Oreochromis niloticus: one gene and its partner. The protein of the gene in region 1 interacts with the protein of each later gene in a biochemical or structural test. Links are inferred from orthologs where the notes say so. Each region holds a gene or a part of one and is shown in the gene's direction. Other genes may lie near its edges.

Evidence for each region.
Region 2: the proteins of lats2 (region 1) and MOB kinase activator 1B form a complex in vitro, tested with the Homo sapiens proteins (2 studies listed by BioGRID). The link is inferred for Oreochromis niloticus from reciprocal best matches to the Homo sapiens genes LATS2 and MOB1B.

What each region holds. Positions count from the first base shown.
Region 1 is NC_031987.2:27,635,796-27,651,623, reverse strand, and holds the start of lats2 (serine/threonine-protein kinase LATS2), read left to right. Parts: upstream 1-9,707; 5' UTR 9,708-9,936; intron 9,937-15,089; 5' UTR 15,090-15,473; coding exon 15,474-15,828. Other genes in the region: ska3 (SKA complex subunit 3), read left to right, coding at 1-81, 219-298, 668-795, 2,958-3,115; uncharacterized protein LOC102075830, read left to right, coding at 4,117-4,402, 5,134-6,485. UniProt on the Homo sapiens protein: Negative regulator of YAP1 in the Hippo signaling pathway that plays a pivotal role in organ size control and tumor suppression by restricting proliferation and promoting apoptosis.
Region 2 is NC_031972.2:13,998,807-14,014,547, reverse strand, and holds the start of MOB kinase activator 1B, read left to right. Parts: upstream 1-8,500; 5' UTR 8,501-8,789; coding exon 8,790-8,803; intron 8,804-9,855; coding exon 9,856-10,022; intron 10,023-13,044; coding exon 13,045-13,138; intron 13,139-13,933; coding exon 13,934-14,067; intron 14,068-15,009; coding exon 15,010-15,173; intron 15,174-15,276; coding exon 15,277-15,354; 3' UTR 15,355-15,741. Other genes in the region: tnpo1 (transportin-1), read right to left, coding at 4,216-4,322, 5,408-5,557, 6,088-6,163, 7,439-7,543. UniProt on the Homo sapiens protein: Activator of LATS1/2 in the Hippo signaling pathway which plays a pivotal role in organ size control and tumor suppression by restricting proliferation and promoting apoptosis.

The sequences.
Region 1 (15,828 bases):
CCTCGTATAAGAGCACACTACCAAGAGCCAACCACCCCGGAGATGCCAGACCTGAGCTCTGTCACACAGGACATCTGTAAAGTTAGTCTTGTTTTTTCCCATAAAAAGCACATTTGAAACCCATAGGTTTGCTGTTTGCAGATAAATTCATGTTCCATGTTACATAACATTTATAATTTGTGAAATTTCCTCTCGCGCTCTTTCCTCCTATTTTGTAGCTTGTGTCCCAGGCTCAGTTGAAGAAGACAACCATGACAAATGAACACCCACCTGTCAAGCCTGACAAAAAGAAACACAGGTAAACTAAATTGGTTGTGACGAGGGACAGACCCGTTATAAAATAAGAAATATAGATATAGGTGGCAATATTAAATTCATGAACTCTAAATTAGTAGCTTTTATTGTGTGTCCATTCCAAAGTTGCACATCAGGCTGGTGCTCGGTAGCAAAGAAGAATATTAATTTCAAATATTAGATATGAAATATCATTTGTATATATTTTTAATTAATTTTGAACTTTTGTGTTGCTTATTTCTGTCTCTCCTGATGAAATGTGTTAATTTCTTTATTTCACTCAGTTTTATCCATTCTTACATGATGCGTGCCTGCAGTCTTTCTTTCAAAACTTTGATTGTGACATGTCACCTTCCATCCATTCCTCTCCCAGATCTGCAAGTCTGTCTGAAGTGTCAGAGAACGAGTTCCAGAGTTTACCGAGCTACCTGAGACAGATGAGCCTGAACAGCCTCAACCAAACAGTTCACAACATCAACAATTTCATGGCAGAGTATCAAGGTCAGTGTTATATTTGTGCACAGGATCATGGATGAATGCAGCTATTAATTAAACAACTCCGGTTATGGAGGATGGCTGTGCCCTCCGTGACCCTGGTTCTACCAGAGGTTTCGTCCAGTTAAAAGGGAGTTTTTCCTTCCCACTGTTGCCAAGTGCTTCCTTATAGGGGGTCCTCTGATTGTTGGGGTTTTCTCTGTAATATTGCAGGCCTTTACCTTCCAATATAAAATACCTAAAGGCAGCTGTTGTGATTTGGTGCTATCTAAATAAAACAGAATTGAATTAAATAGCTTTGTAACTAAAAGTGGAGGGTCCGTTTGTAACTGTAGCGGAGAAGAATGTAATCATACATTAATGTACTACAGGACACACCACAGTCAAGGTGCACGAGAAACTGAGACTTTGACACAGCAGTTTAAACTTCTCACTGAGGCAGTGGTGTTGATGTTGTGGTCAGTAGTTTAGAAAACACCTGTGATCACACACGGTGGTTTTCAGATTGGCTGCAAACTTGGAGAACAAATTATCTTGCTGGTTTGACTTTTGTTCAGTTGGATTTGATTACTGCAGTTACACTGGACTTCCACAGAGTTCCTCATTAAATCAGAGGAGCGCTTCCTGTTTTAAAAATAGTGTTCAGTAGTTTTCCCTGTTATGCTGAAATCCATCTGTGAATAAAGTTGTCATCCTCTGTTAGTTTGGACTGTTAATTAGCAGCAGAGGGTGCTATTTGCATAAGTAAACAACCAAATGGGAATGAACAGGTCTGTGTTGGCGATGTTTCCCTTGGTTACTCAATGGGAGATCATGTATAATCCACCCCGTTGTAGTTACATGAGAGATTCAAATAATAGATTAAACGTTTAAAAAAACTGAGCTTCTAAAGTAACAAGAAATCTGGATTCACAGAAGCTGCTTTCGGCTGCTCCCTTGTCACAAGCGGGTGCCACAGCGGGTAGCCCCGCCTGTTTGATTTGGCAGTTTTACACCGGATGCCCTTCCTGACAAAACCCCAAAGGCGATTAATGAGAAATTAGGATTCATAAACCTGTCAAATTGTTCCTGATAGCAGCAAGAACTAGCTGTACTGTGTTAAACTTTTAGACGCTTCAGACTGATTACACAATACCATCAGGGAAGCACCTGATCAGACTGAAATCCGAGGATTTGTCCCATTTTTAAAATCAAAGGGTAGGGACATCACATATAATATCTATATCCGACCAAGCCTATCCCGTTTTCATATTTTCCTGTCACATACTCTTACAATAGTAGATGCTCACTTTAAACATGATCAGAGTTTCAAATGATGTTTGTGGTCCCTATAAGCCCAAACGCTCAGGTTTCAAACTGCTGGAAATGCTGTCTTTTCACTTGTGTTTTTCTCATAAGAAAATATCTTTTATCTGCTCATCTAAGGCGCACAGCTCTGTTTGTGAGGAGCATCCCATGAGAAGAAAGTTGGCTTAAAAGGAAGTGGCCTTGGGAAGGATGGTGGTGAAGGAGGGAAGCTAAAACTGCTCCTTTCACTGGATGAACTGTGGGGGCTGCACAAAGGGCCACATTCAGATAAACAGTTATTTAAAGCTGTGAATCATGCAAAGTTAACTTAATGTAGTCCAAAAATAAACATGTCAAGCTGGAAATGGGCATATTAGGTCCCAGCTGAATAGATCTACATCATTTTCTCAAAGTACACACAGTCATATAATGGCTGTATCCACTGTTGTGCCTACAGATAATTGTTTATACTCAGTGCTCAAGATAACAGTATGATATTTGGAAAGTAAACAAGCGATGTTTGTTGTTATTTCTCTGATTGCAGATCTCTTGGTTAAACTGTTTAAGGACATTTGCTACCAGCACCAGGCTGTTCATCTTTATTGTTAGCAGAACAGTCAGTTTGTTTCTTTGCCTGGTTTCATCAGTTTAACATTGATCTGGCTTCAGTGTAGTTTCAGCTACAAAATTACCATCATCAATTACATCATTGTAATTATATACTAAATAAATTTCCTCCAGTTTAAGCTCCCGAAACATTTCAAAAAGCCAGATTTTTACTGACATGGTGTGTTTGTTATTTTAGCGGTATCCCAGCAAATCATGATGCGAACAAGCTCTCGTTTCTCTAATCTGTCCCTTTTCTGTGGCGCCCTCTGCAGGAGAAACAACAGAGTTTCAGATGGAGAAGCTGAAGAAGATCATCAGTGTCGGAACCAAGGCTCCTGTATACATCCTCTGTCTCACAGAGCTCAAGAGGCTGAAGCATGTGAGAGGAGACCGGAACACCTCTGTGTACAGACTGATCACACACATCTAAAGGTTGTCCATCCTTTGGCGCAAATCTAATTTGGACTCATGAAAGCTACAGAGATGTTAAGCACTTAAGCTGCAGGCAAAGATTATCTATCAAGTCAAACAGCAAAGAAAAACATACATTATGAGAAGAGTCCCAACAAATGAACTCAATCAGAGAAAGCAGCTATCCTTTATATTGTATATGGTTTTTGTTTTGATTGTAAATAGTACATGGACCTGTGAGTCAATAATTTGCATTTCCATGGTTGTATGCAATAATATGGAAACTGGCTGTTTAGACAAGTAGTACAGATTCGTATAATACATAAAGATATATATTTAGACAATGTTAGATTAAAGACTTTTATCAGCAGCAAGCTCAGTCTTCTGCAGCGGGAGTATAACACATGACTTGCAGTGACCAATGGGTGTTAATAATTCAGCCACATGAATATGTATTGTCAAACTATAGATGGTTTATCCATTTATCACAGCTCACTTTTAATTGTGCTTACCCATTTGTATAAAGTTAAATAAAATAGCAAATGAGACTGTTAATCAGAAAATCCTGAACTTTTATTGCTCATTGCTGTGATGTGTTACATGTGACTACTACTATCTTGATCTTTAACAAATTGGTAATTGGCTTTTCAAATATAACTAGTGAGTTTTATCTTTGTGCAGTCTAAACACACTTGTATTGAAATAAGCCTCTGTATCACAGTTGTGTGCTGTGGATGAAAGGCAAGTACTGTACTCCAGTTTCAGAGCTGATTAACGCAGAGGGATCTAATAAGCTACAGGTATATTGCATCTGCTTTGTACTGTCTGTGGTTGTTTCCAGTTGTTGTTGTTTGGGTTTTCCTTCTCGAAAATTAAAAAAGAGAAAATTAACCATTTGGAACAAAATTTGTGTGATTACGGGACATTAGCGTTTATGCTTCTCGGCGTGAGTGAAGATCGCACTTCAATGACGTCGTCCCGAGACTGTCCAATCAGAGTGACGAAAGTTAACGGCCGTTGATGACGGAACTACAGTTTTTTTGTCGCCCTCTGGTAGGCCACCATTTTGGGAGTCAAAACACCCAGCAAACTGCAGCGCACACCTCCACGCTTCTCCGTGGCCTTACTATGGTTCACACCTGTGTGGTGGCAGGCTGCAGGAACAGAAGGACACCAGGCACCACCTTATCTTTCTACCGTTTCCCACGGGACCCCGAGAGGAAGCAGCGCTGGATAGCTGCTGTGAACCGAGAGGGCTGGGTGCCGAACGACGGCAGTCGGCTCTGTAGTACTCACTTCATTTCAGGTATGAAGGCAAAACCACTCTGAACCCTAAAAGTGTCTCCCTGTGGGGGGTTTTTTGTTGTTGTTTTTTAAGTAAACCAGTTCGCACTGATGTTGCTGGGCTTCCACGTAGACAATCATGTCTAGAAAACCAAGGAGGCTTCTTTTTAGTTTTTTTGCTGTCAGTGCAGTGTTGCGTTGAAAGGTTGTATGAATTCAGGAGGGACAGCGGCATAGTCGGTGTAACTGCAGCGGGTAATAAACACGTTTATGTTCACTATCACATAGTAAAAACCCTTACTGATTAAAATTACTGGAAAAAGGCGGTGTTTGTAGTTGTAAGCCTTTGAATATTTTTTTTTTTTTTTTTTTTTTTTTTTAAAGCTATACGAAACTAAGTTGAGATGGAAATAAAGTGTGACATTACTGCAATTAATTCAGTTGGGATAGTGTTATAAGTTCCGTTTACTAAATATATGAAAGTAGATGTCGCTAATGCTACGTGCTATTTTAATGCTCGGTTTGTGTTTTGTTTTTATTGTCTGGTGTGTGCAGTCTTTTTATGTGCAAGGTTTTTCATGCTTAAATTTTGTTTGTAGAAGAAAAATTCATTAGGGATGTACTGACTGAACAACAGCAACTGTTTGTTATTTTATGTATTGCACGCTGCAAAATGAGAGAGCACTCTAAATCACAAGTATCATAAACAGATGAATTTTAATCAGATTCTTTTTTCTTTTTTTTCACATGCAGGTAAACAGGTGAAGAATCCACGTTCTCCGGATTATGTTCCTTCTGTGTTCACGGCTGCTCCCTTATGCCCAGAGATGAAGGAGCCGGGTGCTTTAGAGATCTTGGACAAACAGGAAGCACGGGTGGAGGCAGCCAATGCCTTGCTGTTCCTCCAGGGCCAGGGCATGTCTGCGGTGGATGAACAGGGCCAGGAAGAGCATCCTGAGGTGAAGGAACAGGAGACCACTGCAGAGGAGAGTGCCTCCTCCTCCCTCAGCACTGAAGAAGATGATGATGATGACGACGACGACGATGACGACGATGATGATGATGATGATAATGATGATCAGTCTGTGAGTGACAGCAAGAAAGGAAAGTTTGCTCAGACATCTGATGTCCCGGTGAACTTTGATGACATCCTGAAAGCCCTGAAGAGGGAGAATCAGGCCCTCAGGGAGTCTGTGGAGAAAATGTCTCTCTCAGAGAACTCCTTAAGGAATGATGCGGAGAAAGTGAAGTTTTACACTGGTTTACCCAACTACTTTGTCTTAGAGACAGTCATGTGGCTGCTGGCACCTCACATGGATGGAATGAAAAACGTGAAGCTCTCCAAGTTCCAGCAGCTGCTGCTGACACTAATGCGTCTCCGCCTGGACCTCCGCAATCAGGACTTGGCTTACCGCTTTGGCGTGAAAGTCGGCACAGTAACCAGAACAGTTCACCGGATGGTCAACATCATGTCCTCTACTCTGGTGCCAACGGCTGTCTTTTGGCCCTCCAGAGCTGAGCTCCGTAAAAACCTGCCAGCCGCGCTGCGAGCCTCTCATCCTGACTGCGCCGTCATCATAGACTGTTTCACCGTGCCTTTCGAGGACCCGGTCTCTCAGGGGGCGGGGTCAAGTTATAACGTGTTTAAGTATCTGATTGGCGTGGCTCCGCAAGGCGTGGTCACTTTTGTCTCTAGGGGTGTGCTGGGAAACGTCAGTGACAAGAGCCTGGCTGAGGGTTGTGGATTTTTGTGCAAGCTTCTCCCGGGCGATGTCGTACTGGCAAGCCGTGACCTGGACATCGGAGACTCTGTGGCAGCACGTGGAGCCTTGTTTAAAATTGCTGGCAGCTACCAGGGAGAAGCATATGGGAGAACAGAGGGCTCATTGCTGGCTGATCCTTCCTCCGAGACATTGAGCGTGCAGAGGCATGTGGAGAGGGTGATCTCCATGGTAAAGCAGCGGTACGCCATGCTCACGGGCCCTGTCGAGAGCGCCTTCACCGCAGCCTCTGAGCGCACGTCGAACCTCTCAACCTTTGATAAGATTGTGCAAGTTGCCTGTGCCTTAAACAACCTGTGCATCTCTGCTGCTCCACTAGAGTGATGTGTAGACAAACTCCTCGTGCTCCTTTAATGCTGATCAGGCTCTTCAGTTCCCTTTACTGCTTTGGACTGCACTTCTTGCTGTCCCTCTGTGTCTATGTGTCGACACTACATCATGACTACAGCAAATAGATTTATACTTTTCCACTATAATCCTAACTTTCAATCTATGTCACTCCTTGTGATCTGGGTCAGTTTATACTTAGCAATAGGACCATTTCTCCAAATACAGAAACCACATTTCTGAGATGTAATGTCATGAAGTTATGCACCTCCTCTCACAAAGAATGGCCGACTTGCAAGAATTTATTTTGTTTAGGCTTTGGGTGAAAACTGTGAGTAAAACCCTCATGAAATCTGTCTTGATTAGCTATTTGTAAATGCTGAAGTATACACACTGCAGTTTGGGTGATGCGTTTCCACTGATCCCACATCTCTGACTGTTAAGTGTGTCTTTCCCATCCCTGACTGTAGTTACCAGATTACATCGATCTGCTGCAGAGAAGTGGCATGTTGCTTAACCTTTTTTAATTTTTATTTAGTTTTTTGTTGCTTCCCTGCATCTAAATCAGGAAGCGTGCACATAGGAATATGCATAGAAAGAGGTTAAAATAACAGAAATGCCAGACAAAGTAGTACACCTCCTCGGCCCCGGTGTCTCCTCCCAGTTCGGGGTGCAGGGACAGAAGTGTCCTGTGGTTTGTGAAGGAGTACTGGTTCTAAACTCATCTTTTTTTTTGGCATAGTCACATTTTTGTAAGCCAGGTACTTTTTATAGCAAGAGTACAGTCAGCTGCGATGATTAGCTACAAGTTGGCAATTCAAGCACATCTTGGAATGGCAGATGTCTTCAATGTCTTCATCAGCAGGGATTTGCTTGTTTTGCAGGTTTAGACAATAACAATAATAGTAATGATGATGATGAACAGAAAATCAGACTTCAGCTTGAGCTGTATACAGTAATTAACAATGATGTCCATTTTTACTGAGCCACGTGTTTAGGTAATTGTTAATTTCCCCAAAGTAGTTAAAGCTCGTTATTTAATACAAAAAGAATCATCTTTTGTGCTGGTGAAGAAGTAAACATTATTGTGACAGATGCTGACATGCTGTTGAGCCTGAAGAAACACATTGTTAGATGAGTACATCAGCTACATTTAACATGTGGATTCATTCTCACTGGTTTGTCCTCTCCGGTGGGAGACTGTGACAGGCTTTGGTCCATGAGCACGAGCCACAGCAGTAGTTATGGTACAAGGCTGCGGGTTATTTCCAGAAAGGTTACCCAGCAACTGAAATTTTGATCTTTTTAAAGGGTTTGACCTTTCAGTAATGTAGACACACCAACTGGAAAGTTTATACTGATATACAGTATATCTGCATTTTTTTTTTCATTTGAAGAAAACCCGCTCTGAATATTGAATTACATATTTTAGTAGTGCTGCTTTGCTGGTGCCTTAGTTTGTAAAGCTGTTCCAGATCAGCCCATATTTTCTACAGATATTTATTTTGACATCATGCACTATTCTTTGAACTTTTTCCTGGTTTGGTCCCTAAGCCAGATGTGCATGATGAGTCAGCATCTGTAGTCAACAAGGTCTAAATGTGTGTTCCTATTGTTTTGTTGTTTGTTTGTTTTTAAGGTACATCATTCTTGTGTGCTCAACTTTCTGCCAAAACTAATCTAAAGTCACTACACTTATACATATGTTTTCTCCTAAGGTAATTGGTTTGAGGGGCTACAATACAATTGGCTCAGGGCCCAAAAATGAATTGGGAATGCTCCAATAACAAAGACTACACTTAAGTTCAGGTGCTGGGCTTAAACAGGTGATGCTTCATAATCGGTGTTAGGTTCAGAATGTGCCTTCTGTTCTCAGACCCCTGGGTATCCCAGACAACAGATGGGTCTGTCTTTTCTGAGTGGTCATGTTTTGGTTGACTGTGTATTGCTCTGGGGCTTCCATAAGGACATCTAGCCACAATATTTAGTCCACTTGCCTGCTTTTCCCCCCTTCAATTAGCCATGGTGTTTGGCACTGCTGATGCTCTAAACAAACTATAAAAATCAAGTTAATTAGCAGTACTATGGGTTGATATATTTCTTCAGCAGTGCATGTACTTTGGATGAACACATGCTTCCTTTTTTTTTTAAATCAAGTCTTTGACTGAGTAGACTGTATCTGCAGACCTTGCTTGCTCTTTTATGGAGGGAGCGAAAAGCCCCCTTTTTTGACTGATTAAAATAGTCTTACAGTCTGGTTTAAACGGTGTTTGGCCGTTCCTAAAGTAGTGAGTGCCGCTGGAGGACTGTTATCAAGCAAGGCCAAATACCAGTATTAATAGTAGTTAAAAGGCTTTGTGAAATGACTGTTGGTTTATTCTGTCTGTATTTAGTTCTTACATGCATAAGAACAAAGTCAATACTTCCTATTTGATGTTTTTCCTGCTCTAAAATAAGAGCTTCTAGGTTGACATGTATGAAAGAAGTTCATAAACTCATGTTTTTCTCACACTACATTGCTGTTTGACATTATTGTTACGGACGCATGTGCTTCCATGATGTGTAAACTCCTGAAGGTTTCCTGTTTAGTTTCTCTTTTAATATAGCTCCTGTGACTGAAAAAATAAAGTTGTGGAATTGCATCAGCTTACACACTACCCAAGAGTCGCCGTTATGTTTTTCTGTGTGTACGTGTAAAATATTGAAGGTCTGTGTTGTCCTGTGATAACTGACATTATTATAACTTTTTATTTGCTTTCACACTGAGTCATTGGTGAAGACTATTTCCAAGGCCGGAGAGGGGTGACTGAGTAATGTAATGTGCAGATATACTTTATTTATCAAAGGGAAAAATGCTTGGAGGAAGCTCCGCCTGTGAATATTTCAGAGGAAGGAAATCAAGACGTCTCACTCCGTTGCTTTTTGCAGTTACTGCAGCGGTGAAAACGACAGCTCGTCACTACTCGCTATTGCACTACAGCGTAAACTAGAACCCCGCAGTTCTGTTTCTATACTTAACTCGTCTTTAAAATCAAAAGTAAAACTTACTGATGCACTTCAACAAAAAGAGATTTGTACGACGCCGAATACGCAAAAACATTTTTAAGTTTAATTTGTTCGCAAACGGTAACAGCTCCTAGCTAAAACAACGTGAACGGAGTGAACGGCACTCGCCTAATAGACGATCTTCAGGTCCGCTGACGTGCATTGGTCCGTCACGTGACCTGAGGAATGTTAACAATGCAGCGAGTGTCCAACTTTGTGCTGAAGTTCTGATCCTGCCTGGAGTCTGGGGAGAAAATGGAGGCTCATTTCATCATATTTACCCACTGAGCTAGGTGTACGCGCTCAACAACCGAGAACCGGACTCTTTAAAGAAAAAAAAAGTTGCCGTTTAACGGAATTTATTCTCTTCATATTGAGTTTTTCTCGCCACTTCTATCACATGGTAAGTTGAGAGTTGCTTTTTTTGGGAGGGGAGTGGTGGTGGTGTGACTTATTTCCACGACTTGTTGCTGAGCAAAACGTTCCGTTATGGGTGTGTTATACAGCGAGGCTTATGGAAAACGAAATGGAAGTTTCTGTAAGTTTGAGCCTCTTTGGAGCTTACAGGACTGCCTCCATTTTTTTCTCTCCCTGCATTGGAATGTGTTGCTGCTCTCAGCCCCCAACTCAAGCCTGGGATATTGCTGAGAAGGCCCCAGCGCTTTAAAACAGGGCTTTCCGGACCTTTATGCCCATACAAATATCACTGTGTACTAGTTTTAAAGCTTTGGTGCAAATGTGGGAATTCAATTTAAGGGTTTAGTCTATATTTAAATGTTTGTTTATTTGTGTACATTTAAAGTCCATCTTATTTGGGCATCCTAACTTGTGCCTCCTCTGAGGACCACTAACAGTAACAGAAGCTATGCTTTGTAGATGCTGTTAGTCAGAAGATCCTGCATTAATTTCACTGTTTAAAGTGAGTGAACAGATTTGTAGTTAATAAGAACTGAGCTAAATAAAATAGTTCGTAACAGGTCAGAATATTTTTTTAATATTGTATCTGAAAATGAAAATGGAGTCATCTGATTTGAATCTATCATTTTCACTTCTCTCAGGCCCTGCATAGTTTGGCACTGATGCAACAGTGCGTTTCATTCAGGTGTACTGTACCGCATTACTATCCCCAAAACACACTCACCCACTCTCTTTCTTTCTGCTTGACACACTTCTGTCTGTCAAGACAGTTCAGCGCTTTGATTAGTTCAGCAGTGACAGCAGACCTGGGTGATGCAAACCAAAGTCACATGTTTTAAAGGGACGCTTGATGCTCCTGCCAGTCTGTCCTGTAGCGGGGGCGGGGGGTCACATTTTCAAACAATCACACCAGTTTCACTCAGACTAGGGTGGCGCGGCAGTGTGGTGTCATGCACGTCAGAGGTATCTGTCAAAGAGGAACCACTGGGATACAAACAGATGCTTTGGTGGTGATGTTGTCAACACAGTGGATTGTAAGAAGCATGCAGGGATTATTACATGTTATTACTACTACCATATTTGTTTTAAAGGGACAAATGTAAAAAAGTGGGCTACATGCACACAAAAACAATCTAGATGGGTAGATGACTCCAAAGGCTACAGGGAAAACATATCGGTTTGATTTTGGGGTTGAGCTGCAGTGCATCAGATACACACAGAAAGAGCCAAATTGTTTCCCTCTTATACACACACACTTGCACTCTCACAGCTGCAGCCAGTTTCCATCAACTGTTGTCTCTGCCTGCACATTTGTGATGTGTCCTGCAACATTAACTGAGTTGGTCCCACCCACCTCTACCCCCTGTCTTACTCCACCCAAAGCTTAGTTGTTGGCCAGCTTTGCCCATTAGGAAGTTGTGTTCTTTCCTCCACCTCCGCCTCCTCTTGCTTCGCAATTTCCCAAACACAGCAGAGATATGACCGTCCACATTCTCTCAGATCCTTCAGGCAGGTTAGAGGCAATCTTATTAGTATTAACCTGCCAGCTGCTCGCGTTGCTCAGTATTCTGTGGGGTTCAATGTTGCAGAATGCATGCTTTCCCAATTTAGCATCACAGTGGGCAGCTTTGTTTTTGGTGAGACCGAAAACAAAGCTGTGGTATAGTGTGCTAAAGTTTGTTATGAACAACACATGTCCACGAAGAGAAACATGCGTTTAAAGTGTCACATGTGCCATTAAAAGTCAAAAAGTCAAAAAAAGTTATTTTACCAAAAAGAGATTAGAACATTGTCAGTGGTCTGTTTTGTTAAAGTGGATATTTGAGGAATTGATGAAAAAATATTTATGTCGCAGGTTATTTCACTAGTTTTCCTCAGTACCTGTTGGTGTAGCATGAAGTTTAAGTCATCTTAGGTTTAGGGTTAGGTCAAAGAAGGAGTAAGGTTCAGTGATGGGGGTGGTTATGTGTAGAGCATTGTTTTGGGCAGAGTCATGTCTTTTTTTTTCTTGCAGATTTGTAGTTATAGACAGATACTGTCCGTGTAGTTTGTGTTTTGGGTTATTTTGGTCAGCGTACTGCCCCGTGATTGAGCTGCGGTATTTTACTTGTACTTACTTGTGGAATGGAATGCTCATTGCTTGGACACGGCGCCTGAAGCATCGCAGGAATGGAGGCAAGAGATCCCGGAGATGGGGCAACATTTATGGAGCTTGGCCCCATGTTACCCCACCACCCAGCAGTGTAAAAAGAAAAAGCATGTTTTTGTCTATGCAAAGTTTAATCTGTACAAACAGTGAAGGCTGTGTCCTCCTGAAATGGCCCAAAGGGATGGAGACTGCTAGAGAGGAGGAGCAGGAGAAGGAGGAGATTGGGGATGCAGTTCAAGAGCTTTTTATGTTTGGAAGCTTTTTCCTCTGCAGCTGCTTGGTAGTAGCGCTGAGGGATATAAGATTAAGATAATATTGTTAAGAATGTATTTTTAATTATCTAAATATAGAATATCACAGCACTGGGTGGATTCTGTTTGGCATTGCCTAAGACCAAAACTTGACTTGTAAATTTTAGTTTTGGCGTGTTTTCTTTTGAAGGTATTCTTTTGTACCTCCGCACAGACACACGGGAGTCTCTGGGATAGTGTAAGAATTCAGTATGTTGCATCACCATCACTTCAAAGTTTTCAGACTATATTACTTTATCAGTGAATCAAAGCTGTGGCACATTTGAAATTGATGGAAACATCTGGATGTTTAATTTGGTATATTTGTAGCTGCTTTTAAAGATCTCTGTTGGCAGCTATAGTAAGTACAAAAAAAAGTTGTGGTCATGATATCTCAGAGACAAATGTTAATGGTTTTTGAGGAGGAAAAAATTAGAATCCACCCAATGCTCAACTGACTACTTTTAGACATTAAATAAAACATTCTAGGTTGTTAAAAAAGATGTATGCCAAACTGGGGGGGGATGCTCTGGGAATACTACCGCGATCCTCAGATAACATCAGCCGGGGAAACTTGTAGTAAATCAGCTCAACCAGAAAACTCCAAAAATCCGATACTGGACATACTTAGCTATCTGCTATCTGCTAATTGAGAACAAACACATGACTCAGTCATGAGTAAAAATAGGATGTAACCTTCTTGAATCTACAAAATAAAATTAAAAAACATAAACAAAAATAGGTGGCCGCCTGGTAATTGTGGGTTGTTTTACATTCTGTGGCTGGTTTTAAAAAACACAAATATATAATAATAATAGTAATAACTAATTTTGATAACTTTTCATCTTACTGGATAAAAACCATATTGACAACATTTAACTTGGAGGACATAATTGAATTTGAAAAAAGATGATAAATCATTGTATATGTTACTGCAATACTCAAACCAAATAAGTAAGTATTGTAGGATGTCTGGCGATTCGCACCTAAACTCTGTCTATGCTTAAATTTGAGGGTAGAATTATGATGTCACTGATTTGTCCGTCAGAATAAAAAGCAATTTTGTCGCCCTTTTTTTGTTAAATTTGAAGTAGTTGTGCGGCTAGCATAATGATTCACATTTAGAAAGCACACAAACAGCAGCTCTTCTTGTGATGTAATGTTGTTACGAGCTCATAATAACTCACCAACAGTGACACGTTCTGCTCTGTGTCCGTGTCTGTTGACTGTAATAGTACGATGACCTGCTGATCTCCTTGGTCTGTGGGAGGAGAAATAATCACTGGTCTTGGTCAGACTGCTGCAGAAAGTCGCTTTTTTTTTTTTTCCTCAATCCATCATGCTGTACGTTATATAATGAAAGCCCTTAGGTATTTGTTAATACGTAAGCATGCGGTGAACATAACTCATTCCTTGTTTATGCATATAGACAGGAAGGTTATCTGCAGCTTCTCTTCATGTCTGTGTAGATCAAGTACAGAAAATGTTCTCATAGACAAAATAGCTATTTTATTTAGGCAAAGAGGAAAATTGCCCATAAGTAATTTTTCCTTTTTAGGATAATTGTCAGGTGTAATTCAATACCTGCCAAGAAGACTTTTTGAAATAGAACCCAATCAATTGAAAGATGATTGCTTCACAAAATGGTTGGAATTGCAGACATGAGTTTAAAACCACAGCCATGTTGAAACCTGCCAGAAGAGGATTGTATCTAGCAGTTTTTCAGTGCTGGTGAGATTGGTATCTGGAGACCTGGCATTACTTCTGTAAAACTATTTGAAGCCTGTGAGCTTCTCAGTTAGACAGGAAACCCAGCTGCCTGTCAGCTTCAGGGTCTCTCCTCTGCAGAGGTAATGCTATGCCAAGTAAGGCGAGATTTACTCAAGTGGAACCAAAAGAAAAGAAAGACCGAGACAAACACATTCAAGTTCATTAACTTTTAACGGTTTGATTTGATATATAAGCTGTTAACTCAACTGACACGGTTCATAAATTGACTAATGTGAGACATAAGTATCATATTAATCAAATCTAGTATTGCCAAATGGTCTTGACCTCTTTAATATGATCCAAGTCAGGTCTACTGTGCTATTATACAGTATTTGTGATTAGATGAGAAGCTTGTAAAGTTGAGGCTCCGGACAGAAAGCCCATCTGCACTGGCGGAGTAACCTTCTTGCGGAGGATGTTCTTCTAGATAAGATTGTCAGACAGTGTCATATGTCAGATCACAGAGGAGCATAAAAGGCAGAGGCGCTGATGCAGGGAGGGTCGGACATTTGTGTTGACCCCATGCTGGGGTTCCGTGCTCTCAGATGGGTGTTTACCGATGACCAAGTATCAGAGACATGCGTTGACAGGGGCTGAATTGTGCAATCATAGCTATGCATTGATGGGGTGCAGGTGGTGTTTTTTGACCTCTAGCATTCCTGGATTATGCATAAAAGTATGTGAGAGTACATATGCAGTGCTGATCGTCAATTTGACCTCCAAAAGGTCTAACCGGGTCCATGAGGATTACTTCACTTTATATTGGTGCAGAACATCTTACTTTTGTGTGGTATCTTGTGATCTCACATGTTTCTAAAGTTGTTGACAGTTTTTTACTGTATGTGCTTTTATTTTTAGAAAATCTAGATAAAATTGAATGGGATATGGAAGCCCAGTCTTCATGCTCTAACTTCATTTCTCCACCCACAGGCGCAGATTGGCATCATCATCGTTTGGCTCCACGATGCCCTTGTGACCAGCTGCATTTCCTGGAATAAGCTGGAACCTGAGCCTTGAAAATCACACCATGTAATGCCTATAGTATTCCTGCCTCACCTTCATCCACCGCAGCGGGAGCAGGAATCAAAAGCAGAAAGCGAGATAGAAAAAAATTAGGGACATAGAGTAGGGATCATAAAACCTGTGCCTCCAATCTGTGCTCTTGGAGGCTTTTTATCTATTTAGGTCAGCAAGCTTGAAGGGAATCTTTTGGAGGGTTGTAGGGCAGCGAGTGCCAGTTTGTGTGTGTGAGTGTGTGCTTGTGTGTGCGTGTTTCCCTTTTTAGAGTAGGTGCCTGCCCTGGGCACTGTGGCCATGAGGCCCAAGACTTTCCCCGCAGCCCCGTATGTGGGAAACACACGGCAGAGGCTTCAAGAGATCAAGGAGGGCCTGAAGCAGCCGGCCAAGCTGGTGAGCCAGGCTTTACATGGCAGTAGCTCCAGGAATGAGGGAGGCAAAGGGGCAGACTCCAAGAGCGGGAAAGACACAACCAGCCGACAGCAGCAGCTCAGACCCCCGCAGAAGTTCAACAACTACCAGAATGCGCTGCGGGAAATCCGCAAGTCCCTCAAGCCCTTTGAGTCCGGCTCAACCTCCGGATCAGGACACCCAGCAGGCGCTGGGGAGGTAAACCGGCAGATGCTGCAGGAGTTGGTGAACGCTGGTTGTG
Region 2 (15,741 bases), on another chromosome or scaffold:
AGTGGAAATTTAAGTGTTCCTTTAAGTGTATAAGACATGCTGCTGTTTAAACTATGAATTGGGAATACAAGCAAACAAAAAAAAAAAAAAAAAAAAAAAAACTAAACAGATGTCATATAAGCGAGTCATGATATAAAAATCTCATGACAGCCCCAAAAATGTCAGATTTATCTTAATGTTGAAAAACATGACTGGGTTACTAATGAGCTATTTAGAAGAAAGATGTGTTCCTTTTTTCCTGCTATCCATATTTACTCAAGATCACTGGGGTTTAAATGTTGGCAAGGCATGATATGTTAACACCCATCACGACTAAATCAAGAATAATGACCAGATTAACTGATAACGCAATTGCTGGTTGCAAACCTGCGTGGGAACCCAAACAAATGTTTCATATTACGCACAACTGCGCTCCAGCACTGCACACAGTGACGTCAAAACATAATACAGGCATTTGTGTGTGTCAAGAGGGAAGTGCAAAGGAATGGGAGTGGCCTGCAAGCGTTTCAATGATATACAAGCATCTAAAGTGTAATCTTCCTTTCAAGTCCTGCTACTGAAGGTCGTTCACTGTGAGAATGCAAGTCACGTAGATGACTGTGAGCCAGGGCAAAGAAGAAAAAATAATAATACACACGTAGTCGACTAAGAGGCTCCTTCAGAATCCTGTCCTTGAAATGTGAATAATGGCACAAATGAGCGCTGAGGTAGCAGAGCATTATCATAGGTGATCGTTTTCCCCTTCGAGTGGCATGAACACCGTTATAGCCACTTGTCAACCTCCATTAATCAAAAACACAGGCATAACCTATATTAAGCTGTCCACCAGCATTAAACTTGGCATCCGACACACCTGCTTGTTTCTTTATATAGAGCATGTAGAGAAGGGCACAGCGTGGTGACACGAGGAGCTCTTCCAGCAACCACTCGTCTTAAACCACAAACAAGGCAGGACTCACTGGTAGGGCAGCAGTTCCTTGTGTTACCAAAATGGACGTCTGTTTTGATTTTCCTGCGTTATGTTATGTGCACACTAAGCTTAAATGAAAGAAAAAAAAAAAAAAAAAAGCAGTGACATCATTACTTGAGAACAGAGGATTTAAAGCTAAAAACTGCATGCTGCAGTTTCACCACGTACAGAAGCTTGTCTTTATACACAGCGTCAGCAGACATTATGTCTCAGCGTGGGACTGTTGAGCAATCAGAGGGAGGATGATTCACTGGGAGAGTCACGAGGATCATCTTGCACAGATACTGTAAATGCACAACATATATTGATCAAATGGCCCAAGGCCAACATGCATTTACACGTTTCTCAAAGTGTAGATTACAGATCGGAAACTGAACACTGGCAGTCACTAAATATATTCCCAAAATAGATATCAAAGTCATGCTGATAGAAATAGTACATTATTTTGGGAAGGCAGTGAATGCTCAGTTCTATATGGCAAATCAAGAGTAGAAACAGCTCTCTTCTAAAACGAAGAAGCTGCCAGATACTACAACAACAACATCAACATCAGCGACAACAATAAGAAAAACTGACTACGTGTACTAATTTACTCAATTTCAGCTCAATATTTAAATCTTGGACTCTAGACTAGCTGATTCACTTTTCCCAATAGTCCCCATCTATTTCACACTAAAACTCTTTACACACCAGATGTATACAATTCGGGCAAATATTTAGTGTGTTAATATTTTTTGGACTTGCCTATTTTTACATGCAGCCCTTCACACCGACTGCGTAATATCGCAGACAAATTTTAAACCTTCATTTCCCCCCTGAATCAAGCTTGATTTTTCATATATTTTCTATGGAAATAAACAGATCTGACCAATCAGAGCAATTAATTTAGAAACAACTGCATTCGTAGTTAAAAAAAACAGTGCACTAAACTAAATATACAACGATGTCGAAATAGTAAAATAATCCAATTTTACCTCAGACACACAGCTCGATGCTGGTCTGGGCCACGGTTCTCTGAAATGATCTTCAAATGTGGTCTCAACTCTGCCAACAAGAGCTCAAACTGCCCCACTGACATCCTGACATATGTATGACAGCATCTCTTCTGACTGGCTACACTGAGGTTTTCATGTCAAACTTTGGCTGAATTAAATATGGGCCTCCACCATACATGACAAAACAAAAAGGAAAAAGAGAGGCACCAAATGTGAAATTCAAAGTCAATACCCACACTAATGTAATATCTCTTTACCTCTTGAAAGCCTACAAGCCATTTTCTGAATTGAGCAGTTTGTATCATATTTCAGGCCTGCTTATATAAAATGTAAAATAACTGTGCATTAGAAGTTGGTGGGGATGGTCTCTGCTGATGCAGCTAAACTTGGAAAAACCTGGAAACTATTCTAATGGTTGTCAAACCACATCTTCATTGATATATACTGAGGTGTCAAAAGTCATCATTAAGGTTAGAGGGGAGGCCATCAAATGTTGTGCTTTTGGAGGAAAGAGATATAGTAATGACTATTTGTTTGCTTCCTAGTTATTCACAGTGCAGCAACTTGACCATTTTTAACAAGAAACATTAAGAAGCTTTCCAACCCTCAAGCTTCTTTTCGAAAACATAGCTGGTCTTATAAGGAGTTTCTACATTTGGTTGCTTGAGTGTTAAGCCTCTTTCACGCACACATACACTTCAAGATGGTCTGCAGCAACTACCTGACCTAAATCTTAGCTTCTGAGCAAGCTTTACAAGAGAGGCTGGCAGCGGTGCTACACAGAGATTTATTTTTTTATGTCACACCTATTCCTTAAATTACTTCAAATCACATTGACAAGTAATAATCCTGTCACCATGTATTTTAATTGCCCTATGACACAGCTGAATTTACCACGACACTTCAACATGCCATTTAATTTATTAATTCTGATGTCATGAACAAGTCCAGCTGACAGAATACTAATGACCTGGGAGTTTATGCGAGCCTGAGTATGGTTACACAAATCAGATGATCTAACAGCCACAACAAATGACTGTGCTGTCATTTTCGTGGCTGCTGCAATGGAGCATTTAGAAGAACGAGCACAGAAAAATTTAAGATATTAAAAAACAAAGAGTGGATCATGGTGGCCTGTAAAGATGAAATATGACCCAACAGCATGTTGGTGGTTTGAAAATCAAAGCATATTTGGATGATGATCAAAAAAGAGAGAATAAATGAGTCAGAGCTGAATAATCTGTAGTCTGCAGCGGCTGCTCCAGCTGTGAGAATGTCTTTAGCTCATCTGGCCAGCAGGATACTATCCAGATGCTGCTTTATAGCCGAGCCAGCTTTTCTTTCCACAATAAATTAATTAATAAACAAATAAACAGTACACGCACAACTGTCTGTGTGCCCAGACAGGGAAACATGCTTTATTACAGCACACATGGGCTGTAATATACAGTCAGAAATGTGTGCACGCTTAATCTCAGCACTCCCCACCCATCCCCAACACAGCCATGGCAAAAAGCTGCCTCTCATTCTCACACTCACACACATGCTTTTGTTAAACTTCTGATGAGTTGAAAGCACAGTAATTAAAGAGGAAGAAATCGGAGTCGTTGGCAGATGATAATATTACAAAATGACTTTAGCGTCATGTCCATATCAAGCAAAGTAATAGCTGCTGCCATATTAATGCTGAGCCCATTACATTTCATGTTGGATTCTTTAAGCTGGTTCGGTACTGTTGTACTTTTGGGGATTTTTTTTAGTAATGAAATGTTGAATTTTGACACTTTCCTGTGGAGCACTATTTATGTGCTACAGAGTGACTGAAACATGAATACATCATGGCTACTCAGCTGCAACATTTGGGTCCATCTTAACCAAGTCAGTTTTGTCAGAAGACATTTTATTAAAATCAATCTCATATTTTTGATTACGGCAGAAGATTTTAGAGTCACCTTGTATTTGTATGATGTAGTCTGTTACAAGATAACTTTAGATTTTTAAGAGCTGTTGAACTGATCTAAGTGATTTCCTGGTTAAGTATAGCTTGCTCAGTTGTAATTGGATTAGTACATAAATTTCTGTGGAAACACGGTGTTAGTGGATTATTACAGGAAACATCATCTGTAAAACCCTTAAGAAATAGTTTTCACATCTTTCACCCATATCAACACATTTGTGACGCCACCAGAAAACATCAGCTTAGTGACTAAAAGAAATTAATTTATAAGCTTCTGATTTGTTTGTCCTCACTTCACATGTGTTGTAATCCTCAGAATCCAGCAGCAGGCAGAGTTTGGGTAACAGCTCAGGCCAATTTTGTAGCTCTCCCTTGGAGGCAATTGTAGTGATGAGGATACCTGTTATCAGAGGGGGCTCTGTTAGATGATTAAACCAAAATCCAATAACATGCACAGGACATAATGAAACGCAGACATTTAATATTATAAAGCACTTCTGTTTATAATCCATGTGAACAGAAGCAACAGAAATGCAGCAAATAAATAGCTTCAAGTTAGCTTAAACAGCTGGACGACTCCTAATTATGCAAATGTAAATATCAGGATTCTGCAATAATAGCAGGGAACGCTTGGGAGCAAACCAGCATTTAAAAGCTGGCCTTTAACATTCTGATACAGTAGCCCACTGAGTTAAGAAAGACTATTTAGAGGCATTTAAAGCCAGGGTAGGGTTTTGCTCTCACTGGATTAAAAAGAAATAGATTAAAAAGAATTTCACAGTAGCCTTCAATCATATTGCAACTGACAAGGTCTGAGAGATCACTGCGCTCTGTTTTCAGGCTTTACAATCTGAGCCAGTTACAGGTCCGTTAGGCCAGATTAGGCGAGCAGGGGTGAAAATCTGGGAGAGCAAACTTTGAGTCCCTGAAGTCAAAAGTCAGCAATAGCACGCTTTTGACAGCAAGTCTATGCGTCCATGCTAATTTGGTGGGAGGGGTTAAGAATGGAGAGAGGGTTAGGGTTACGCCCTGCAGGAGTAGGGCTGTTTATTTCTAGGGATTTTTTCATAGATTTCTGACCACTGGATAAATAAAGAAATATAAACAACACAGAAAAGCAGATTAATTTCATACTAAAAACATAATCATATCCCTAAAAATAAGAAAATAAATTAGCTGCTATCCCAAAACAGTTTCACCGGTTTAATTAGTGTAAATAATATACAACCATCACAACCAATAATAAACTGTTGTGTAAATATTCATTGTTATTTATTTCCCTGCTTTGTCTCCAAATGCTGATTATGTTCCCAATATATTGACCTGTAGGTTCAATATGTCAGCATGTAGTTTAAGCAAATAAGGAAGTTATTTACAGGTACAACAATGCAACGTAGATAACAAAAGAAAACATTTAAACATAAAAGCTATGCATGGATGCTAAGGGCGACATTACAATCAGAAGACCGAGAGGATGAGACTTACCAACAGTGGCCCGAATAAGAGGAGATGAATCTCCGATGTTTTGGAGGCACTCACTCTTGATGAAATCAGACACGCCATTAGGGAAGTTCTGATAGTGAGCTTTCACATTGTTCTTCAGTATCAGTCCACTCAAGGACCGGGTCGGTTCATCTTGGGAGAGAAAAGGCCAAGGGAGGAAATGTGAAAATTGCTTCCCTTTCATTTTTCGCAAGCAGAGCATTACAGAAATTATGTTCAGACATTTATACTGACAATGTGGACAGAATCTATTTTACTGTTTGCTTAAAATGCGTAAGTAATAAATTAAATAAATTCTGCTAATTTTCTTTAAACACTTGTGACTTGTTGCATCTAGGGTAAGGTAGTCATGCAACCGAAAAGGTCTTAACACCACTTAACATTTGGGTCATCTGCTGTGCGGAACAGTCAAGCCAAAAGTTGAGCAGTGCCAGGATTTAGCTTTAAAATTAGAGTGACCCATATTCTGTGTGGCACATCATTTGCAGCAAACATGCCATCAGGTCACCCGAGTCGCGGCCGGACTAACCTGTCAATGAGCAGTTACATAAAAACGACAGCTCTGACATTCACCCGTGCTGCCCGGGTGCCATTAGATAATCTAGGAACACACCACAGACACAACAAAATGACAGAGCGAAGGAGAAGGGTGGACAGCTTACCTTCCGATTTTAACTTTGTCAAAACAAATATCAAATAGTTGTTAAAGTCTGGATACTGATTCAGCTGCTCAAGTCTCTGAGAGAAATGATTAAGGGTTACAAATGTTCGAAGAGCATGTTAAAAGGCTGCTAGGACATCACCACTGCATTCTGTAATTTTATAATAACAATAAAGCCAAAAACAGATTTTTTTTCCCCTCCTCCTCATATAAAGAAGAGGAGTGGTGTAATGTAACAGCATAATGATGTGAGTGTATGTCAGTGTGTGTGAGTGGACTGGGTGTACGCTTGTAAGGGGGTCATAAATGTGTCATTTGGCATGACTGTACTGGCAGATGGCATCTTTAGGGCTATAACAGCAGCTAGTCTATGAGTTAATGAGACAGTCCATATGAAGGGTTACATAAGAAAATTATTAAGGATCAGCATGAAACCAGACAAAACCATAAGGCCCAGCAGCACGGAGAGGCAGATGATAATTGCTCTCCAATGTAAAAGCAGGCAGTCACATGCACACAACACTGGAGCACAGTTGCAGCTGACAATACAGTGCATGAGCTACAGAGGAAAGCTAATAATGCACTTACATGTTAAACCTACACTTTAGTCCTTGCCATTTAATCTAGCCGGAAGAGGTCACCTTAATACGGGTTTGTTTGATAATCCCTGGCATCCTTTGGAAAAGTGACATAGAATAAAGTGTCACAGCGAAAAAGCTTGAATAACCATGGCGTCTTATTCCAGGTTTAACCCAGCCATCCACTCCATTAAACTTCTGTTTTAGAATAGGAGATTTTACTAGTGCTGTTGCACTAGTAAAATCCAGCAATTTCGTGCTTTACATACCATGATACATGCAAGGCACGGACAGATGTTGGGGGGGGGGGGGGGGGGCTTTTCTGTCACCATTAACACCATCACCTTTACATCATTATATCTAATTCTGATGTCTACTTAAATTATTAACATCAGCATGTCTCCGGTAACCTTAGCTTTATCAAGTTGCAGATGATATACCGGGGCTTTAAATATGTTTTATTGTGATGTTCTGCAGAAGCAATATGAAAAGGGAAGGTATATAGGAGGAGCAATTACAAGCTTTACCGTTGCTTGTATTAACCAAGCAAGATAATTTATGGCACTTTTAATGTCAGATGATGTTAGCACGACCTGTTCCGTTTGCAGCGCGTGCAAGTGAGACAAAAAAGGCACGAGCGTACCTGCTTGTAACCGTAACCACCCCGGCTAGTATTAGCTGTCGTTAGCCTGTTGAGTCTGTTTTGTTATTAAACCACTAACAGATTATAACAGATAAGTTATCATCCATATCCGGCTCAAGACAAAAGGATACTTGCTGGACGGATCTCTGTGTGGACGTATCAGGCGACTGAGACTCCTTCAGCAGCTGTAAAATTTGTTGAAGTCCTTGCTCGTCTGGTTTCCACTCACACTCCATCTTGCTGCTGCGGATAAAGAAATAACATAAGCTCACACAGAGGACTTGTCATCGAACTAATGCTGTCTCCCTACGAGGCGAAGTAATTTCGGATTTTTTTTAAAAAAAGCTTTTACCCGTTTCTTCTTTGCCGACCTGTGCAGTTGACTTTCTGCTGAAATGTGACCGTCTGTCTGGGTTTTCAGACATGGGCCTGACACGGAGAGTGGACCCGATTTCTCCCAACAAGCTGAAAAAAGCTTCGGGCTACGGTCTGGCGTTGCATATAACTGGCTGCATCGTCAGCTGACACCGAGCTGGCGGGTCCTAGTGCGCGACAAGTTTTATTTTAAGCCAAATAATCAAACAAAAGATGCTTATTTACAGTAGGAGGATATCTAGAAGGACTCTGGCCAAACATGTTTAGATATATCTATTTAGTCTTTTTATTGAAGACAAAATGGGTTTGTCCTTTGTTCAGAGAAGGTAAGGAGAAGCTGCAAGAGGAAAAATATACTGAAAAATCTGGGAAATGCCAAAGCTTCTCTTATATTTCCAACAGAAATGAAGGCAGCACAGCTCGTGACATTGGCTATGAAATTTTCCATTTTATATTTCAAGAAAACAGCTCCATCTTCGGGCTATATTTTTTATCGAACAAATTCAGCAGCATTTACCCTGTAATTTTAACTTAGCAAGCAGCACCACTTAAATTGGCATTTTTGAATCGCAGTAAAAAACAGAAACATGTAGCCTAGGCTATTATAAAATATCAGTGAATGAATAATTTAAAAAAAACATTAAAAATAAAAATAAAAATATATATACTTTATTTTTCAATATAATATATAAAACGTAGCCAACGTTTTTGCTTAAAATGTTCCTATTCGAAGGAAAGAACAGTAGTTCTAACCCATTTGCTACACTAGATGGCAGCACACAGTAGAGCTGCGTCTGCTCTGCCTTCAAGGTTAGATGAAGAAGTGAGTATTGCAGTCAGTACGCTGCTGCCTCCCAGCGTACAGCAGCTAGTGGATCGCTCTGTGTATAAAATACATTTGTTTCTCCCCTTTTTAAATTAGTGGGTAGTTATTTCTGTTACATTAATATTTATTTCGGATGTTTAACAAGGACCGCACAACTAAGCCAGAGAAGAACCGAGGAAGTGTGAAGCTTTAGAGTTTTTGGCAATCCTTTTGGGCTGCCTTTACTCTGCTTTTATTATCTGTTTGCCAAGAAGGGAATTTTTTCGGCGACCTGAGGAAACATGAGCTTTCTTTTGTGAGTTACAACCGTTCGATACACGCGTATTTTGTCTTGCCATTTAGCTTCGTGTTTGGAAAATGCCAGCTTTGCTGCAACAGCTAGAAAGTTAGCTAGCCGTAGCGTTTCAACGGCTTAGACTACTTCCTGGATGTACCTCGGACTGCTCTGTGTAATTCGCATTGCTTTCTGTAGCTTTCATTTTAAAAACTGTCATCAATACTAATCGCATATTCATCAGTACTTTAAGGCTAGTGGTTACAGTTGACCAAATGAGAAATTTCACCTGCTTAGAACAGATCCATTGACAAATTGCCTCAACAGAGATGGAGGGTTTTGATTGTGGCTTGGATATTTGCTGGTATAAACACTTGGATGCCACCGGCTAATCTAACACAGCCCTGCTACCGCTAAACGCAGCTGTTTCATCAAAGTAACACCACAATATGACGTCGATATTAGCCAGCGATTAAAATAATGTTTGTTTCAGTTAAGCTGAGAAACATCAGACACACCTACTGTGACAGTATGTAGTTAGATTGAAGAAGATGAGGTCTAGATTTGTTATTGTAATATTTCTTTTTGTGTACTTGATATATATGGGTAGGCTAGAAGGAAGTAGTTGATGAAGAACAACAATATACTGATAATAGCAGATACTTATTTTGAATTACAGAAACACTATAGAAATGCTACAGGATATTTTGGATCTGATCTCGCCATTAACGGATTCTCCAATTAAACATTTATTTTGTGTGTCCAACCCACCATACTGTGAGAACTCACAAATTCTTGTTTAATGGGGCAGTGAGATCAGCTGAATACAGTACCTCTACAAATAGCCTCATTATACAGAGAGAGGCCACACTGTTCACGCACACCCACTTACATTCTGCTAAACCCAAACCAAACTTGAGCTCCCTTTGACATCTCTTTAACAAAGTCATAACTTTTTGTTTTAAAAGTCACCTCACATTAGTGTTTGGTGACCTCATGATTTCTCATCATATCTTTCTGTCTTTTGATTTATTCTACTTTTTGTCTTCCTGTTTTATGTGTGACTCACACAGTGGAAATCGTTCATCCAAAACATTCAAGCCCAAGAAGAACATCCCGGAGGGTTCTCATCAGTATGAGCTGCTGAAACATGCAGAGGCTACTCTGGGGAGTGGAAACCTGCGCATGGCAGTCATGTTGCCTGAGGGTGAAGACTTAAATGAGTGGGTCGCAGTCAACAGTAAGCACTGAGTTTTATTTATTTTTCTTCTCTCTTGATACACGCTTTTATTTTAGGTTTAGATTCCTGGCTAAAGGGGCTCGGCACACTTTAAAATTTGTTTTTATATCTCTTAAGTCTTGTTTCTGACACTTAATTAGTCCAAATCATGAGTTGGTTGAGAGCGAACTGTCAGGCTGTCTTTGGCATTGCTTCCAAAGGCCACGTGCATTCATGCCAGAGCAGCTACCGTGAATGTTAAATAGACTTTATTGTCTGCGCTGTGAGCGCCTTGTTTACTTTCCTCTAAAAGGAAACAAATGGTCAGTGGATGCTTAATTCCTCATGCGTCAAAAAGCCTTCAGGGTTGGAGACGATCACTAGCCCAGCCTTTTAACGCGTGATTGTCTGTCAGACGCTTTGTTAACAAAACATTTTTGGGCGTGCCCAATTTCTAGCTTTGTTAACTGCGTCTAAGAATTGCCACCGCTGCTGCACTCGTCTGATATTTGTGCTCTCCAGATTCAGAGGTTAGAAGCAAGGTTGGCTAGTATTGCACAAGCTGTTACAACTTGCACAATGAAGGGAAGTCAGAATAAAAGTGCTGTGAGCAATCACTTCTCCCACCACCAAGTACAAATGACTTTTCACATGATCTGTGTTCACGAGAAGCAGTCCACTTCATGTTTTTAAGATTGTTTTGCTTGTACTGGATTGCAACACAGTCCTGTGACAGCTGTTCTACCCCAGATGGATGAATGGATGGATAGTGACAGTAGAGGGAGAAGTTACGGGCATGCAGCAAAGGTCTCCAGGTACAACTGAACTTGGGGTAGTAATCTGACAGGCATCTTAACCAATTGTCTAGCTGGATACCCATCAGTACACTCTCTTCTCCAGTGACCTCACTTACAAATGGATTTTTAGGATCCTTTTGAGACCTTTTCCAAGCATAAGCGGAACAGTGAGTAACAACAACGTGGACAGAAAAGCGCTAATGTTGGTCAAACTTTTGCAACAGCAACTCTCCACATTAGCCCTAAAAGTGGAACCATGCATGGAGAAATGAGTTGACAGTGAAGTTGTCTTTATTGAGTCTTCAAGTGGGACGAGGAAATGCAATGCAGTTTTGCCTCACCCAAGCATTACATTGAAATCTTTGCTAGGATTTCCCCCCTCAAACTGCTTCATTGTGACACAATGAAGCAATGCAGAGCGAAAATAAAGAGGGTGAAACAGGATTACTGGAAAATAAAGGACCACAGGAAGAGATGGGGGGTTTTTTTATCACTGACTGTTACATTATTTTAGGGTTCTTATTAGCTTTATGAATGAAAAAAGAAAAAGGGTTTGTAAGGTTCATCAATTAGAGCTTAGCATCAGGTATTCCCCAGACTGTTTGGATTTTGGCTTCTGAATTTTCAGTCTGTTTTCTATCATTAAGATAATTCTGCTTTCTCTCACTGGAATATTCATTTCTAGACTGTAATCACATCAGTATGTTTGGTGGCATAAACAGTAATTTGATCTTTTGTCTTTGTTTAACAGCATACAAAAATATTCTATCAACTATGATTGGACAGATTCTTGTTTTTAAAGGAATCTCAAAGTGAACCTGACAAACCACATGCCATGACAACTGGACAGTATGTTTGTTTTGTTTAGTTTTGTTTTTCAATGAGATTTTTAAGTTACACTCTCAACTCAAATGCTGCCAGTGCTTAAAATGGATCTCCCCAACTGATGGAAAGCCAAAGTTGGCTGTATGCCCCTGGGAATGAGTGGTAGCACAGTTTGTGCCAGATAACTGGACTGTGCACTGGTCTACAGTTTGGCCTGGGCGGTGAAATAGGGACAGGCACAGTGCTGTGGGGTAATCTGATGCCAGCAATTGGTGCTGGCAAACACTACAGTTGGTGTCATATAGCAACACTTTTTCATCTCCAGGGCCAGAAACTGCCTTTCTGTTAGCTAATATTGTCCTTGCAGAATTAGAAATGTCCTCAAGTAACCCTTTTCACTGACGCGCTATTGGTGCCCAATTTATAACTATTCCTGCAAATTTTTCCACCCAAAAAATAATATTAATACTAATAGTACCATCACCTAAAGGCTGGAAACATTGTGGGAACAGAAGAATATAGTGTTAAAAGTAATGAAAGGGGGGAGTAGTACAAACATTGCTGAAAGAGGTGTGAAAGTGTCCTTTGGTATTTGCAACGCAAGAGGATTCGACCTGCCTCATTTCTGTCTGCCGTTTATTTGCTTTCTGGCTCTTTGAAACGTCGCGGCAAAATGTCGAGGAAAAGCAAAGTTTTTTAAATGGACTAACAATGAGATGGAGTTGTTGCTGCGAGTAACACAAAAGTACAAAGTTGCAAAAGCGAGTGAGAATGAAAGAATTTGAAGAAAAGCTATCTGGAGCATGTACAAACTGATATTAATCAAAACAACTGCTGTATAATGCCCTCCGCTATCTTAGTTTAATTGGTCACATAACTGCATCACATGACTAAAATGTGTCATCGTTTTCGAAAAGGCTCTGGGTTTGTTGTCCACACTGCGGCGCTAAAACAGCATTTTCAAATGTATCCGCTTTGGAGAGCGTTTTCAAAACGCTGCATTTTCCTTGACCGCAAATGCCGTCTCAGTGTGGACGGAAGGCCAAAATGGAGAGAAAAAGATGCGTTTTCAAGCGAAAACATATGAGTGTGGACATGGCCTGTGTCTTAACACCAAGGTAGTCCCCACACTGTTTGACCAAGTGGGGGTTTTGTGTTTTGCTCTGTTTTCAGTCTTTTGCCTCCAACTGTTACATGCTGGTTAAGTTTAGACACTGAAAATTATATTTAGGGGTATCAAGTGTGTTTAGTGTGGACAAGTGAGTGGTTAGTTCACTATTACCATAACTACATAACTACAGAGCAGAGGTGAAATGAAGCCTTCTGCAAATCACTAACACAGGAGTGTGTGATGCACCAGGAATGAAAACAAGCTGCATAAACACCATTTTAATAGTTTTCTTTTTTTCGCATTTTTCCAGCTGTGGATTTCTTCAACCAGATCAACATGCTGTATGGCACCATCACAGATTTTTGCACTGAGGAAAGCTGTCCAGTAATGTCTGCTGGTCCTAAGTAAGTGATTAAAACTCATAAAACTAGCCCACTGGCTATTCTCCAGTCTTTGTTGTATGATGAGACTGAGCAGGGTCAGGATTTGGAAAATGGACTTGTCTTCATAATTGTAAACACCCTGTGACGTAGATCTTTTTGTTTTGCCCTCCTGCTGTCTCACTGTGTAGATTTGCAGCAGATGTCTTTTATGTGCTGATAAAAAGTTAGATTTACTTCTACAAAGGAAAAAACGCCTATTAGAAAATGTTTGGTTACTAGCATGAGCCCTTACTCATACCAGGACGACTTGTATATTATCTGCTTATTGAGAAATACCACTTTGCTTTACAATTGATTACATCAGTGTTGAATAAGCCCAGATGGAGACCATAACAGGGGTTTTCCTTGCTCAGAATGGGCCTCCTGCTTGGGAATACTCTCACAAGAGCATGATTAGTGCTTGTAGTTACTGATCCACATGCAGCCCAGTTTGATCTCAGCTGGGCTGGACTAATAAAACAATCACACAATAACAGACCTTTCATTTAATATACAGAAGTTTACCTTTAAAGATCCACCTATTAACAAACAAAACACATGATTATGTGTTCATCAGATGCTATGCAAAAGCACAAAGCCTTCACATAAATCATTTTTCTCCTATTTCTGAGAATTTGAAAAACATGAATATTCATTATGCTCAATTAAGCTTTTGTTATAACACTCGGGATTTTCTTCCTTCTCTTTTGAGTGAGCCAAAAATTCCTCTTGGTATAAATGTGCTCAAAGTGTGTTTTTCATCTTTATTTCCTGTAGGTATGAGTACCACTGGGCTGATGGAACCAACATCAAGAAGCCCATCAAATGCTCTGCTCCCAAGTATATTGATTACCTCATGACCTGGGTGCAAGACCAGCTGGATGATGAGACGCTTTTCCCTTCAAAGATTGGTATGATTCACTCTGTCGTTTCTACCAGCCTTTACCTCCAAAGAAAAGTTATCTTTTAATGCACATGCTGTACATCAAACAATTAGGTGTGTGGAGATCCAGAATGCGTACACAGCCATTTTTATTACCAGAGAAATCCATCTCCCATGCAAAATGTATGTAACAGAAATGATGAACTTAGCAGAAATGTAAACTTTTGCAAATTTTCCTAATTTAAATGTAGCGGTGCATTTGTCTTATCAATTTCATATAATAACCTAACACATTAAGAGATCATTCTACAGGATTGTTAAGTAGTAGCATTTGCATACTTACGCAGTTATCAGCCTCATAACTAGTTGTGGCGTGTGCAGTCTAAGGTGGAGTTTTATTGCTATTGAATGGCAGCCAGCAGCCAGTCTGATAGACCCAGTACATGTCAGTAGAAGTGGTGAATGTGCTGCCCTGGAGGTACACAATTCACTCCATTGCCCATGATCTGTTGTTCACTTGGGCAGATTCAACCTCAAAGCCTGCCAACATCTTCAAGGTTCTTCGGAGGTGTGTGTTGTGATGAAGAACCCATTGCACACTTGTTAAAATCAATTCAAGGCTCAGTAAGCGTGCATTCAGTTGTTCAGCATCTGAAGCTTTAATTTACTCGTGCTGGTGTCTTCATCCAGATGTTGACTTGTACGGTAGGATGCTCTCTGTAGAAGCCTCTGTGATCTGCAGCAGTTTAGTTTAGTGTTGAAACTAGCAAACTTTCTGCACTGCAGATAAATACTGTGAACGTGAGGTGTTGCTGTGTTGCTTTCATGACTGCTTGAGCTTCCCCGAGATCATGCTGTGGCCTGCCTGTGTAGACTGGATCATTTTCACAGGCAGACTATAATGTAGCTGCACGTCGAGCTGTCTGGTGTTTTTTCTAACCAGCTTCCTTCTCTTTCTTTTGTTCCCAAGGCGTGCCCTTTAAGCGTAATTTTATGTCTGTGGCAAAGACCATTCTGAAGCGTCTGTTCAGGGTCTACGCCCACATCTACCACCAGCACTTTGACTCCGTCATGCAGCTGCAAGAGGAGGCCCACCTCAACACGTCGTTCAAACACTTCATCTTCTTTGTTCAGGTAAAGAATCCCTGACATCTGACTAATGTGGCATGTTGCTAACAAGGGCTGTAACGTGTTGAGTCATGGGGTAATGTTTCTTTTTTTCTTTTGTCTTTAACAGGAGTTCAACCTCATTGACAGGAAAGAGCTGGTCCCACTACAGGAGCTGATTGAAAAACTGACAACCAAGGATAGATAAACAGCCATGTAATCCTTATTTTATTGTTCTTCTAGTTTTTGCACAGATACCCACCCACCCCCACCCTGGCTATATGTATGCAGTATGTACTATTTCCATTTGGGGAAATGTTTTTAATAAGGCCAGGAAGAAGGAAGGGTGTTGTTAGGTTAAAGGCACCAGGACTAATGCTATCAGGGATTAAGTTAATTGAGCAAACCACAGATTAACATTAGCTGTATGAAAAAAACCCACAAAAAAACCCTTATATTCTATCATGGCTTACTTTAGGATAAGATAGATATATGTTTATTAATTTTCTACCTGACTGCAAAGATGTTTTGTTTTCATCCCACTTAATTTTAAGGGAACATACTATTAGGTTCCAGCTCCATCACAGACGAGAGT